Callithrix jacchus: one gene and its partners. The protein of the gene in region 1 interacts with the protein of each later gene in a pairwise test. Links are inferred from orthologs where the notes say so. Each region holds a gene or a part of one and is shown in the gene's direction. Other genes may lie near its edges.

Region 1 (4,279 bases):
GGCAGGGGTAGGCAGCAAGTCACCCGGCTTTCAGCAGAATCAGTCCTGCACTAGGCCTCCTCACTGAGAACTTGCATTTTTTAAAGATTGCCAGGGTATTTGTGTGCATCTTGAAGTAGGCCGTGAAATCAGGAGAATAATGGGAGAATAGAGTATTTTCAGTCATCTGGCTCTAAGTAAGCAGAAAAAAAAAATTATGGCCTTGTGAAATGCAGGCCGTAGCTGTATTTTTTACCTTCCTACCCCAGAACGCAGTCCAATAAAAAATACACAGGTGCTATGAGTTTCAGGTAGTAAGTAGGCTCACACCCCCTATTCATTATACGTGGCCTATATGCTGCACCCAGTGATGTGAACCAGGTCCTTCAGACACTGCTTGGGACACCACAGCTCCCCTCCAGTGGAAAAGAACCACAATGGCTGCTGGGACACATGGTAAATGAAGAGCCTGGGTGCCACCGTCGTCTAGCTAGTAAACTACAGGCGTGGGAGGTAGTCTGCAATGGAAGTGGCACCCAGTTGTTTTTATTGTCTGTTCTAAAAGGTGCGGGCTGGCACAGGCTCGCACGGGTGGTAGTGGGGTGGTGAGGACCCGTCGCATGGGAAGTAGGAGGGTTTGTGTCATAGGTGAGGAACTGTGAGTGGGCTGTGTGGAGTTACAGTGGGGGAGGGGGCGGTCATCACCCGATAGCCTCTTCCCGCGTCAGGTTGAAAAGGGGTGTGTGACTTTCAGGTAGTACACACGCTCACTTGGCCTATTTGTTACACATGGCTTATATGTTGTACTCGGTGATTTGCACCTGGCCCTTCACACACGGCTTGGTACGGCATAGCTCCCCTCCCACGGGAAAGAAACAGAATGACTGCTGGGTGACGTGGCAAGTGGGGAGAATAGCTGCCGCCATCGTCCAGTCAGTAAACTATAGACTTCCGAGCTAGTATGCAATGGAAGTAGTTCCCAACTGTTTGTATTGTATTTCCTCAAAGGTGAAGGTTGGCGCAGGCCGGCACAGTCTGGCAAGGGTTGGGGTGGGGTAAGGAATTCTTGATAGGGAAGTAGGAAGGTTTATGTGGCCACTGCACAAATGTGAAAGAGCCGTGTGAAGTTTTGCTAGGGTGGGGGTCATCACCCAAAAACCTCTTCCCGCCACAGCCTTTAACAGGATCTGTGATGTTGAGGTAGTACGTGTAGTCATGTGGCCTATTGGGTACATGTGGCGTGTATGAAGAGACTGGTGCTACCGTTGTCCAGCCAGTAAAGTACAGGCATCTAGTCTGTAATGGAAATGGCTGCCAGCTGTTTGTATTGTATGTTCTCAAAAGTGCGGGCTCGAACTGGTGGGGTGGGGGTGAGGAGTTGCTTGGCGCGGGAAATAGAATGCTTTATGTCACTAGTGCGCAACTGTGAGTGGGCCGTGTGCACTTCCGCTGGGCGGGGAGGCGTTACCAGACAACCTCTTCCTGTCATAGCCTGGAGGCGCATTCGGCACAGAGGCGGCAGCCGCCTTAGACGTGTGGTGGTCGCGCTGCGCGATCACTCCAGCTTACAGGCCTTTCTGACAGGTACGGAGCTGGGCCTGGTCATACAAAGCAACCTAGATTAGGGGGTATATCGCCAATAACTTGCTATTTTCCACAGGGCCTAGGAGTTGCTATCCATAGTTTTCCAGGCAGAACTTCTGGGAGACCTTAGGCTGGGCAGGCCGAGACGGGTGTATCACTTTAGGTGAGGAGGTATAGCCTACCCAAGATGGTGAAACTCCGTCTCTACTAAAAATACCAAAATTAGCCGGGCATAGTGTTGGGGACCTGTAATTCCATTTATTCAGGACAGTGACGCAGGAGAATAGGTTGAACCCTGGAGGCGGAGGTTATGCTGAGCCGAAATCATGCCTGCTGCACTCCAGCGTGGACAGCAAAGGGAGACTATTCGTCTCAAAAAGAAACAAATTAAAAAATACTTTCTGGAGGCCTGTTCCACCCTCAACTCTTGACCCTTGTCCGTGCAGAAGAGCGGCTTCGGATCTTCTCTCCTAGATCCTGCCGCCTTCCACTGGTGCTGGTAGTTGGTTTATGTAGATAACAGGGTAGAGATGGAGGGAAACGGGAACGGACGTACTGGATTTCGGTACAGGGGGTTAGACTTGTATGGCGTAAGTAGTTGGGCTTCGTGAGTGGTCACTCATTGCGGTACGGATTTGACTCTGGGTGCGGGCAGGATTGAGTTACGACTTAGACATGGGTGGGGGCAGGGTTGAGGCACGAGTTCGACTGTGGGTGCCTGCAGGATTGAGGTAGGAGTTAGACATTGGGGCACGGATGATGCACGACTTTGACTGCGTGTGGGGGCAGGGTTGAGGTAGGAGTTAGACATGGGTGGGGGGAGGGTTGAGGCACGAGTTCGACTGTGCGTGGGGGCAGGGCTGAGAAAGGAGTTAGACATGTGTGGGGGAGGTTTGATGCACGAGTTCGACTGCCAGTGGGGGCAGAGTTGAGGCACGAGTTAGACGTCGGTGGGGGCAGGGTTGAGGCACGAGTTCGACTGTGGTTGGGGGCAGGGTTGAGGTAGGAGTTAGACATGTGTGGGGGAGGTTTGATGCACGAGTTCGACTGCGAGTGGGGGCAGGCTGGAGGCACGAGTTGTACGTCGGTGGGGGCAGGGTTGAGGCACGAGTTCCACTGTGGGTGGGGGCAGGGTTGAGGTAGGAGTTAGACATGGGTGGGGGGAGGGTTGAGGCACGAGTTCAACTGTGAGTGGGGGCAGGGTTGAGGTAACAGACGTGGGTGGGGGCAGGGTTGAAGCACGAGTTAGACGTGGGTGGGGAAATGGGTTGGATTTCGTGCTGGTTGGGATTGCGGTAGAGGTGGATCTTAGGTGTACGCACGTGGACCTTGGCAACGTGTGGTGGTTATGGTGAGGTAGCTAAGCGATGCAACATGGCTGCAATGCCGTAGCTTCCGATCAACATGGCTGCAGGGGCGGAGCTTCGGACAACATGGCTGCAGGGGCGGAGCTTTGGAGCGAGTAGAGTTTGCAGTGGGGGTGGGACAACAACCTTATCCTACGATCCCTTCTGTCCTATCAGCAGCCCCCACCAGCCCCCACCCTCCACCTCCCTCACCATTCCTTCCCATACTCCCTCTTTCCGCACCCCTCCCCCTTCCTCCCTCCTCCTCCCTCTGCCAGTTGAGCAGTTTCTTCTGTGGCTGCGCCAGAGTACTACTGGACACCTTTGCAGAATCACAACTGCCGTGGCCTGAGCAGAGACGTGTGTGTGGGACACAATCACAACAAAATACCTCTGCTTTGCCTTGGACAGATCCAGAGAAGCAAGACCCGTCACTGCTAACTCAGTAGCTGCCTAACTGGACAGAGCTGAAGAGCGCAGCAAGTGTGAAGTGGCTGTTATTGCAGCTTCCACGCTGCTAGCAGAGCCAGCCCAGCAAGGTGAGCAGCTGTGAGGTGGGCTCTGGTGGGAGGGACTCTGGAACCTTGGCAAAGAGTGAGGAGACAGGACTCACTGCAGGGTTCGCAAACTCTGCAGGATAGGGCCATCGCTAGGGCAAGAGTTGTTCGTTTCCTGCAGTCTGGCAGTAGGGACCTTATCTGCGTCCCTTTTCTGCCCGATTTCACCTTCCACACAATTTAAACCATGAACTCCTGTCCTTCTTTGAGCACTCACTCCTCATGCCTACCTCCCCTTTCCTCACCTACCCTCCTTGTTGCTAGGATGCTGTATTGGATGAAGACCGATGACATCACCTGTTGCTTCTCAAGGGCCTTAGCCTCACCACATGACACTACCATACAATAGCAACCCATGGTCCATGGTATGCTCTGTATCCATGGCAACACTGCAGTTTCTCACACAATCTCCACACCCACCACTCATTTCATTGCGCAGAGCTCCGGCCATCTTTCTCCTCTGTCAGGCATTTCCTGAGAAACACGGCCACTCCACCTCTCCTGCAGCCAGCCTTCACTTCCATTCCAGCAAGGAGGGTGCCAGGTGACCTGAGCCCACATAGCCCTGAGTGAGCAGTGGGGCAGTCTCCTGACTTTTGCCTGGAGGGCTTGTCAGTGTCCTCAGGTGTCAGGCCCTGCCTCCTGACGTTGGCCTTTTCACTACAGGCACCTGCAGCACACCCGGCTGAGTCCTCTGGACATCGAGGAGGAACCCACAGCAGGAGGAGGTCAGCAGGGAGTGTGGTGAGGTGGGGGGATCTTTGCCTGGGGAGACCCACCACACTCTGTTCTCCACACAATGACTTGAGCCTT
Region 2 (4,300 bases), on another chromosome or scaffold:
AGAAGCGGGCTCTGGGCACGTCAATCAACCGCGTTCTCCCGCCTCCCGTCTACACCTCCCCTCCCCCCTCGAAAAAAATAAAGGCAGAGAAAGAAAGAAAAGAAGGTAACTAATTTGGGAACTAGTCTCCATAGGGGCTTCTCCTCCGACTCGGGAAGGCCGCAAGCCCGGGACCTGACGCGCCAGCAGCAAGCAGGCGGCCTGGCAGCCGCCTGTCGCCTGATCCTCGCAGCGCGTCCGCCGCGCTCCGGCTCCCCGCACGGGTCGGCGCCGCTCTGGCCCCGCACTCCGCCAGGCCCACGGCTCATCGCCCTCCGGCCCGGGCCAAAGTTGCGCGAATAGCCCCACAACTAGCAAATACTTACCAGCCGCAGCAGGAACCAGAGCTGCGGAGATTTTAGGGAGTTTAAGGCAAATCAGTCGCGGAAAAGGCGGGCGGAGGCGAAGGGGCCGCGAGCTGCAGTGGCGGCGGCGCTCGGCGCTCGAGCTGGGCTGCGCGGAGAGGCTCTGGCTCTGCCAGGGACTGTGCTGCAACAAAGGACTTCCGCTGCCGCACAGCCGCGCCTGCCGCACCGCACTGAGCCGGCCCCGCTTACGCGGCGACTCCGGGTCTGCCCACCAGTTCGCTGCGGCGTCCGCCAGCCTTCCCCTCCCTCTCGCCCGCCCACCCACTCTGCCGCTGGCTGCTAGGGGCACCCGCGGTCGCCTGTTTGTTGCAACAAGTTTCTGCGTCGGGCTCCTAGGAGGCTGGCGCAACCCGCACCGCAGGGGCCCGTCGCGGCGACGGCGGCTTGACCACCCCTCTCGCCCCTCTCCCAAGGTTAGGCTTGGGACCTCCTGCTCCTCCTCCTGTTTGCACAGCTGGATGGGACTGGGCTCCTCCCGACTCCCCAGGGCAGGATGCGAAGCTGCTTTCCCACTCCGTCCAGATGTCAGACCCCTGCCCTGTTGGGCCCAACCGCTGGGCCGTCCCTCGCGGTCCGCCTCGGGTGCTCCGGCAACCTCACCCTGTCCCGTCGGATCAGGGTCGCTCAGTCCCCGCGCTCCCTCACCCCACCATCCGCGGGCCTGTCCGCCTCTGGCCCTGACTCACTTCCCCCGCCAAGCCCCACCTCGCCTAGCCCGCCTCTCCACCCAGGCTCCCGCGGCTCGCCCTCTCTGGCCCGGCGCCCTCATCCCTTCCCCAGCGAACACGCGGGCGCATCCTTCCCCACCCCCACCTTCACCCCAGAACTGAGGGGGTGTCTGTGCTTTTGCACACCCTGGGGAAAGTCCCCGGGTCACGCGGTTGTTTGTGGGGAGCCTCTGACGCTCAGACTTGTCCCTACGCTTCCGCCTAGAGTCACGACTGCGAACTGTAGCTGCTGCGCTCAGAACGCAGGCAGACCCCCGCCCGGCCACTCTGGCGGGCGGGAGGGCGCGCACGTATGCACGCACGCACGCACGCACAGCCTGGCCCCAGCGCCCCTAGTTCCCCTGTAACCAGGCACGCGGTCACGTGAGGCTATCGCGGGCTGCTGGCGCGGGAAGCCGCGCGAGAGCGGCCCGCGGGGGTGCGTGAGCCGGTGCAATCGCTTGCCGTGCGTGGCGTGGGAGCCCGCCCCTCCTGCACGGAGGCGTCGGCCTGCCGCCGCGGCGGCGTCTGGGTAAGCGACGCGGCCCAGCCCCTGTGGGCTGCCCTGGGTTCAGTCCCTCCCGCCGCGAGCCGCCCAGGGCGGCGGCCTGCAGCCTCACCGGTCGCGGACAGATGCAAGTAGCTGGGGAGAGGGGTGTTTTTGGTCCGATTGAGATGTCAGGCAGGGCACAGGAGGAAAATAGCACCGCAAGTGAGCGTAGGGCCGACGATGCCCAGAGCCACCCTTCGCTGCTCCTAGGAGCAGCCGCCCGGGCCTGATTCTGGGTGGCGCACGGGGTGCTGCGAAGGCGCGGAGCCGTCCCCGCTATGGGTCCGGGTGCGACCCCCAGCAGGAACCCCCAATAGGCCTGCGCCGTCTCCCGGCTGGTGCCGACCCCTCTTACGAGTGGGCGACTTTCCAGATGCTGCGAGGACCCTGCGGCTACTGTTACCACTCCCAGCTTGTGATTACCTAGTTTCTAGGGCAAGAAGACTCTCCGCCCCGGCCCTCATAATTGATTTCTTTTTTATCTTCAAATTATGTTTGTCTCGTTTTAAGCAGATGCAGTTTTTCTTTTTGAAACTTGCTCCATCTTATCATAGCCTTCTCTGGCACTCATTATTTGGAGTAATCAGGTGTTATCAGTTGCGGAGGCAGCGCATAAGGCAACCTAGTACCTGGAACCTGATAGCACCTAGCACGTTTCCACAGTTAGCGCCTGGATCTCCCTAAGGGATTAAATGTAGCATTCTTTCTCTTGAGACTCAAGTCCTTATGACAGAGCTGTTGATTCTCTCACAAGATTCTGTCGAGTGGGTAAAGTACACTTTGGTATCTCAAATTTTAGAGCCGAGAGGTGGTGCCTTATAAAATCTGTTTCATTCCTCTCGTTTTACAGAGAAGACACCAGGCCTGAAGAGCATGATGTAGCTGGAGCTAGCTACACTTCTCAATAGCTAGACTCCAAGACTCCAGACACCTTGGTGATTGCACTCTCCACCATGCCAGGACTGCAGTGCCAGTTTAACCCACTCACCTGTAGAGAGTGTATCTGCCGGAGGTCATTATACTTGGGTTGATTCAGGTCATGGAGAAATCAGGCATGGCCACTGTGATGGCTCTGGAATAGTGGGGTTGATAGTATTTCTAGGTGAGGTAGGCCGCTTATGGTGTATTTTTGGAGCTAAAAGCCTGCAGGCACCCCCCCTCCTCAAAATTTCATTGCTATTCTCTGCAAGAATAATGATGATCATTTACAGTCTTGGTTGCTTCCTTATGTTAAGGCATCAAAGTCTTCTTTAACAATCTGGATATATTTTAGTTAAGGATAAATCATGAATCCATGATCGGACATCAGCTTCTTAATAAGAAACTGATGGGATAGAACAGGGACTAGATTAGTTCTGAGAGCTGGGAATCAGTGAAATACCAAGGTACGGTCGGGAAGAAAGCAGAGAGGGACCGCATAACCTGTTAACACCATTTTTGTCCAGTCTTCCTGGAATGTCTTATTTGCATGTAGTAGAGATGGATTCTGCCCAAGTTGGGCCGCCGTTTACTGAGTAGTTGCAGTGGGCCAAGTCTCATACTAGCCGCTTTCATAGATGAACTTTGTATCTTTACCAAAAAGGAGATGGTACTGTCTTCATGTTACTAGCCTGAAGAAACAGGCTTATTACCTGGCTGTGGTGATGTAGTCATTTGCAGTAGAATTTAAGATCACTTATCTCTCAAGTCCAATCAGTGCTCTTTTGCATTATGCCTTGCTCCTGCTTCAGCCGGGAAGGGAATGAGAATCGCCTGTGGCTGATTTATTGGCGCCTGTGGTTGCCCAGAGAGGCCAAGCAGGACTTTCAGCTGCCCTCTATGCCTTACAAAGTGGAGCTGTGAGCTTCCACCCTATCTCCTGAGGGGAATGTGAAGGAGCCAGGCTGTCTAGCGGGGGGTGGGTGGGGTGGGGGGGGCAAGTGCCTTGGCCGTAAAATATTCTGGCCAGGGCTGTGCTGGGAAGTGTTGCATAATGCCCTCCCCAACACTGAACCAAAGTGCTTTATTTACTACCGTCCGTAGCTGGTGCCTGACCAACTTGTCCATTTTAGCAATAACAGGGTAGAAAAGACTTGAGGGTTTTATATGATTGCAGGTTTTTTCCTTGTTCTAAAAAAGCAGTGCAGGTGCTCTTATCTTGATAAATTATAGTGCTTCTTTCTACACCACTTCCTGTGCGCCTTTTCTGCATATTTATTCCAAATAGCATGTGAACTTCAGTCTTTTAAGAAGAGAAAGCTAAGAAAATACTCCTTCAGTTTATTAGCGTAAGCTATGGAGACAGCCCTGGCTTTTTATCTCCACTTTATATCGTTTGCTAAATGTGTGTCCTAAGCCTAGGATTTTTCCTTATTTGTAAAATAAGTACATTTGTAAAATGGAAATGAAAACAATACATGAGTCATCACAGTGAAGATTGAAAGAGATAATATATATAGAGCACTTAGCACAAGGCCTTGCATATAGTATTTATTCATTATAATAATAGGTTTTGAAAATAATATATTATATTAGAATAATATCATAGTAGTATCCCTAAGAAAGGAAAAATTTTGCTACTTGAACCTGCTTAGGGATAGAGGAGGAAGAAGAAAGTGTGAAGCAAACATCAGTTTCAGGATTGTTGAGTAAATTTA
Region 3 (4,011 bases), on another chromosome or scaffold:
AAGAAGCGCCAGAGAAAGGCAGGTAAAATGATTAAAAGAATAGAGGGGTGACTGGGAGCTGGAGGACATATAAAGAAGGTCCTTCTTTGGCTGGGGCCAGGGTTCAGGTCCTTAAGCATTCTCCAATGTGTGGAAGGACCCATGGGATCAGGTCTTCAAGTATTCTCCAATATTTGGACTTACATGTGGTAGCTGTGAATGGGGGGTGGGTGAGGGGGTGGGGGACACGCAGCCCACCTCAACAGTCCTTGAATGGGACAAAAACCACTCTAGACTGGTGCCTGCTTTCTCTCCCCAAATCACCACGGAATACAACCATAGAAACTCAAAAACAGTAAAAAACACCGACAAGATATTTTAAATGCTAATATTAAATCTCATTGTGAAAATTAGATTGAAAATAAATCCAAGGATGCAAGATTTATAATAGATTAACAAGGGAAATTAAGGATGTTGGTGGGTGAGGAGGAGATGTATCCTTAACTTTGTGATTCACACGATGGAGCTATACTGTGTCCTTCAGAGAAATGGTACTTGGTAATCTGAGTTGGACGGCTATCATAAACCATTTCCTATACACTGTTAGCATAGTCAGAAAGTGAGAGTTATGAATTGACATCGGGATTAGATAATTTGAATTTTTCACCCACAGCACAATTCCTTCCATCGTTTTCAATAAACAGAGCGAGAGGGAGACTCTGATGAACTGTTGCTCACGTGCTGAACCGTTAGCAACCCCGGGCTATCGGATCCCTGATGACCTTCCTTCAGAAAAACGAACGGACATCTAAACGGAACGAGGAAGGGGAGGGTAAATAACCAGAGTGTCCCTGAGTTGAGAGATGTTAAAAATGGAACACAATCAACACATGGGCCCTTACTTTTAGGTTAAAGATTCCTATACATAAATACATCTCGCCCTTGCCAAAAAATATTAGATTCAGGAAATTCATTCCTCACGAAGAAAATAATCCCCTCTCTTCCATTCCTTAGGTCCCTTACTTTACCTGCTTCTTTCCTCTCGAGGGCAGGAACTTTGAGCCCCGCCTCTCTGCTCCTTCAAGCTCCGCCTTCCCCGTCCACCTGTATGCCCTGCCCCTGACGTTACCCGTTGGCTTCAGTGGCTTGCAGGATTCCGGCTTCTGATTGGCCGGCCCGGCCACGGCTTGCGCAGCCCACCAATGGCAGCGGCGCTGGGTGGAGGGGTGCCCAAATCCAAGATGGCGTCCCCAGGAGCTGGGAGTGGGTGACCGGCAGCGGGGAAGCGGCCTGGGTTGGCCCTCAGATTGCGGGGTCTGGGGGCATCTCTCCAGGCAACCCCCCTGGCCCGCCTACAAGGCCTTCCCCCGGCCAGAGCAATGGCCGCTGAGAACAGCAAGCAGTTTTGGAAGAGGAGCGCTAAGCTGCCGGGGAGGTGAGCCCAGGACGCTGAGAGGGAAAGGGGATTGGACCAAACCCTTCCAGATCCTAATCCCTAATCCCGCGGGCCTGGGGCGCCACCGAGGCCGGAAGACTGGTTTGGGGAAGCCAGGCGGGGAAAACTGGGGCTGCCTGGTGGCTGCAGAGCAGCTGTCAGGCAGAGGAGAGAACAGCGAGCTTTGGGGACGGCTGGATGTGGGTGTAGACCGGGGTCTGGGGGCGGAGGTTTCAGGAGGGGTGACCTCAGCTGGAAGGTGGCCGAAGATTGGGCGTAACCCGCAGTGGAGTTGGGAGATAAGTCAGTGTCGGCCCTGGTCTCGGAGGTTCATCCCCAGAGCTGCTTCCCACTCTAATCAGAACTCCCTCTCAGTGGTCTCCACCACGCACAGGTGGTTGCTTGCTTGAGGATGGCCCCTTCCCTTGTTCCCCTAGCTGGACAATTACCCGAAGGATTCTGGTGTGAGTTTGTGGCTTCTTGCCGAGAGGGTTAGGTAAGAAAAGTGAGGACAATTCTCAAGCCTGACCTTACTTTATCTTGAGTTGGCCCTTTCCCACTAGGAATTAATACAAGGCGACCACAGAATCAGGGTTATTCCTTTGGCATTTTCTAAGGATTTGTCCAACCCCAAGTGACTTCTTCCTTCCTTGCATTGTAATGCTCTTCTTGTGCAAATGTACTAAATTCTTTCATTCTTCAGTTGTTTCGCTGGAGAGCAGACCTCCTCAGACTACCCCCCACCCCTTTTTTGGTGTATGTTGAGACTTTTAGCAAATTACCCATCCATCAATCTATTGGTTTACTGTTTCAGTTTATTTTGGGGAGAGTCCTGAGAAGTATAAAGTAGAGTGTGTATTTCAGTCGTGAATTTAAGATTTCTGCCAGCCACAGTCTACTTGGTGATGAAATTCATGTTTGGTTGTGCCCCACGTGCTACCTTTTCTAGTGGATTCAGGTTTTTTCCTTGTGAGATCATCTTTTGAACTCGTGATTTTTTTTTGAGACGGAGTGTCTCTGTTGTCCAGGCTGGAGTGCAGTGGTGTGATCTCAGCTCACTGCAGCCTCAAGCGATTCTCCTGCCTTAGCCTTCTGGATAGCTGGGACTACAGATGCGCGCCACCATGCCTGGCACATTTTTGTATTTTCAGTAGAGACGAGGTTTCACCATATTGGCCAGGCTGGTCTCGAACTCCTGACCTTGTGATCCGCCCACCTCAGCCTCCCAAAGTGCTGGGATTACAGGTGTGGGCCACTGTGTCCAGCAGACTTTATTTATTTATTTATTTATTTTTAAGCAAGAGAGAAATGTGGGTCAATAGTGGCTAGATAAGAGCCTTAATTTTTTCTTTTTTTAATGAAATAGAGACAAAGTCTCACTCACAATGTTGCCAGGGCTAGTCTGTAACTCCTGGCCTCAAGTGATCCTCTTACCTTGGCCTCTCAAAGTGTTGGGATTTCAGGTGTTAGCCACCATGCCCCAGCAAGTCTTATTTTATTAAGGATCCTATTAGACATATGGAGAATAGGGTGGAAATCAGCTTTTAGTAATATTTATTAAAATAATAGGAATGCAAAGATAACTTCAGATTAAAGTGCTGTGGATTTACAGTGTTAATATTACTGTTAAAGATGTTCTATGTCTTTAGGTAAGCACCACTTCCTGCCAGCTGATTCGTTTTCCTTCCTGGTCTAGTGAGCTCTCTGGTTGTGCTGACTGCTATTCTCTGGGATTTTCCATAGTGAGATCATTAAATTTTGACATCCTAAGATTATAATCAGAATCAATAGGAAAACTTGTATCAGGAAGCAGTGTAAGAGATGTGCGACATGGCATGGCCTTCTCTGCCTTCTGACTGGTGGTTGCTATTAACAGTCTTTTTTCCCCATATCTCCTGTGTTTGACTATAGAAGAGTCAACATTTTAAAAGCACTACTTTTCTGAGATAGGAAGAGAAGTCTTTTCAGTTTCCTCAAGTTTCTGGATTCCCTTTTCATTTTGAAGAATATGGAGAAATTGAGAGAGGGCCGGGAACAATGCCTCACACCTGTAATCCCAGCACTTTAGGAGGCTGAGGCGGGCAAATCACGAGGTCAGGAGTTTGAGACCATCCTAGCCAACATAGTGAAACGCCGTCTCTACTAAAAATACAAAAATTAGCTGGGTGTGGTGGCGCTGTAGTCCCAGCTACTCGGGAGGCTGAGGCAGGAGAACAGCTTGAACCTGGGAGGTGGACATTGCAGTGAGCCGAGATCATGCCACTTCACTCCAGCCCGGTGACAAAGGGAGACTCCATCTCTAAATAAATAAATAGACAAAGCAAGACTCCATCTCTAAATAAATAAATAAATAAGTACATAGAAATAGAGAACTTTTGCCGGGCACGGTAGCTCACGCCTGTAATCCCTGCACTTTGGGAGGCTGAGGCGGGCAGATCACGAGGTTAAGAGATCAAGACCATCCTGGCCAACCTGGCCAAACCCCGGCTCTACTAAAAATACAAAAATTAGCTGGGTGTGCTGGCGTGCACCTGTAGTCCCAGCTACTTGGGAAGCTGAGGCAGGAGAATTGCTTGAACCCGGGAATTGGAGGTTGC

Evidence for each region.
Region 2: the proteins of PNMA5 (region 1) and ZBTB25 interact in binary tests that used the Homo sapiens proteins (3 or more experiments, as listed by UniProt). The two-hybrid records come from large-scale screens. The link is inferred for Callithrix jacchus from reciprocal best matches to the Homo sapiens genes PNMA5 and ZBTB25.
Region 3: the proteins of PNMA5 (region 1) and TBC1D22B interact in binary tests that used the Homo sapiens proteins (3 or more experiments, as listed by UniProt). The link is inferred for Callithrix jacchus from reciprocal best matches to the Homo sapiens genes PNMA5 and TBC1D22B.

What each region holds. Positions count from the first base shown.
Region 1 is NC_133524.1:149,111,165-149,115,443, reverse strand, and holds the start of PNMA5 (paraneoplastic antigen-like protein 5), read left to right. Parts: upstream 1-1,479; 5' UTR 1,480-1,563; intron 1,564-3,320; 5' UTR 3,321-3,448; intron 3,449-3,891; exon of another isoform or gene 3,892-4,035; intron 4,036-4,132; 5' UTR 4,133-4,194; intron 4,195-4,279.
Region 2 is NC_133509.1:99,156,250-99,160,549, reverse strand, and holds the start of ZBTB25 (zinc finger and BTB domain-containing protein 25), read left to right. Parts: upstream 1-1,500; 5' UTR 1,501-1,646; intron 1,647-1,648; exon of another isoform or gene 1,649-4,300. UniProt on the Homo sapiens protein: May be involved in transcriptional regulation.
Region 3 is NC_133505.1:45,599,969-45,603,979, forward strand, and holds the start of TBC1D22B (TBC1 domain family member 22B), read left to right. Parts: upstream 1-1,211; 5' UTR 1,212-1,358; coding exon 1,359-1,414; intron 1,415-4,011. UniProt on the Homo sapiens protein: May act as a GTPase-activating protein for Rab family protein(s).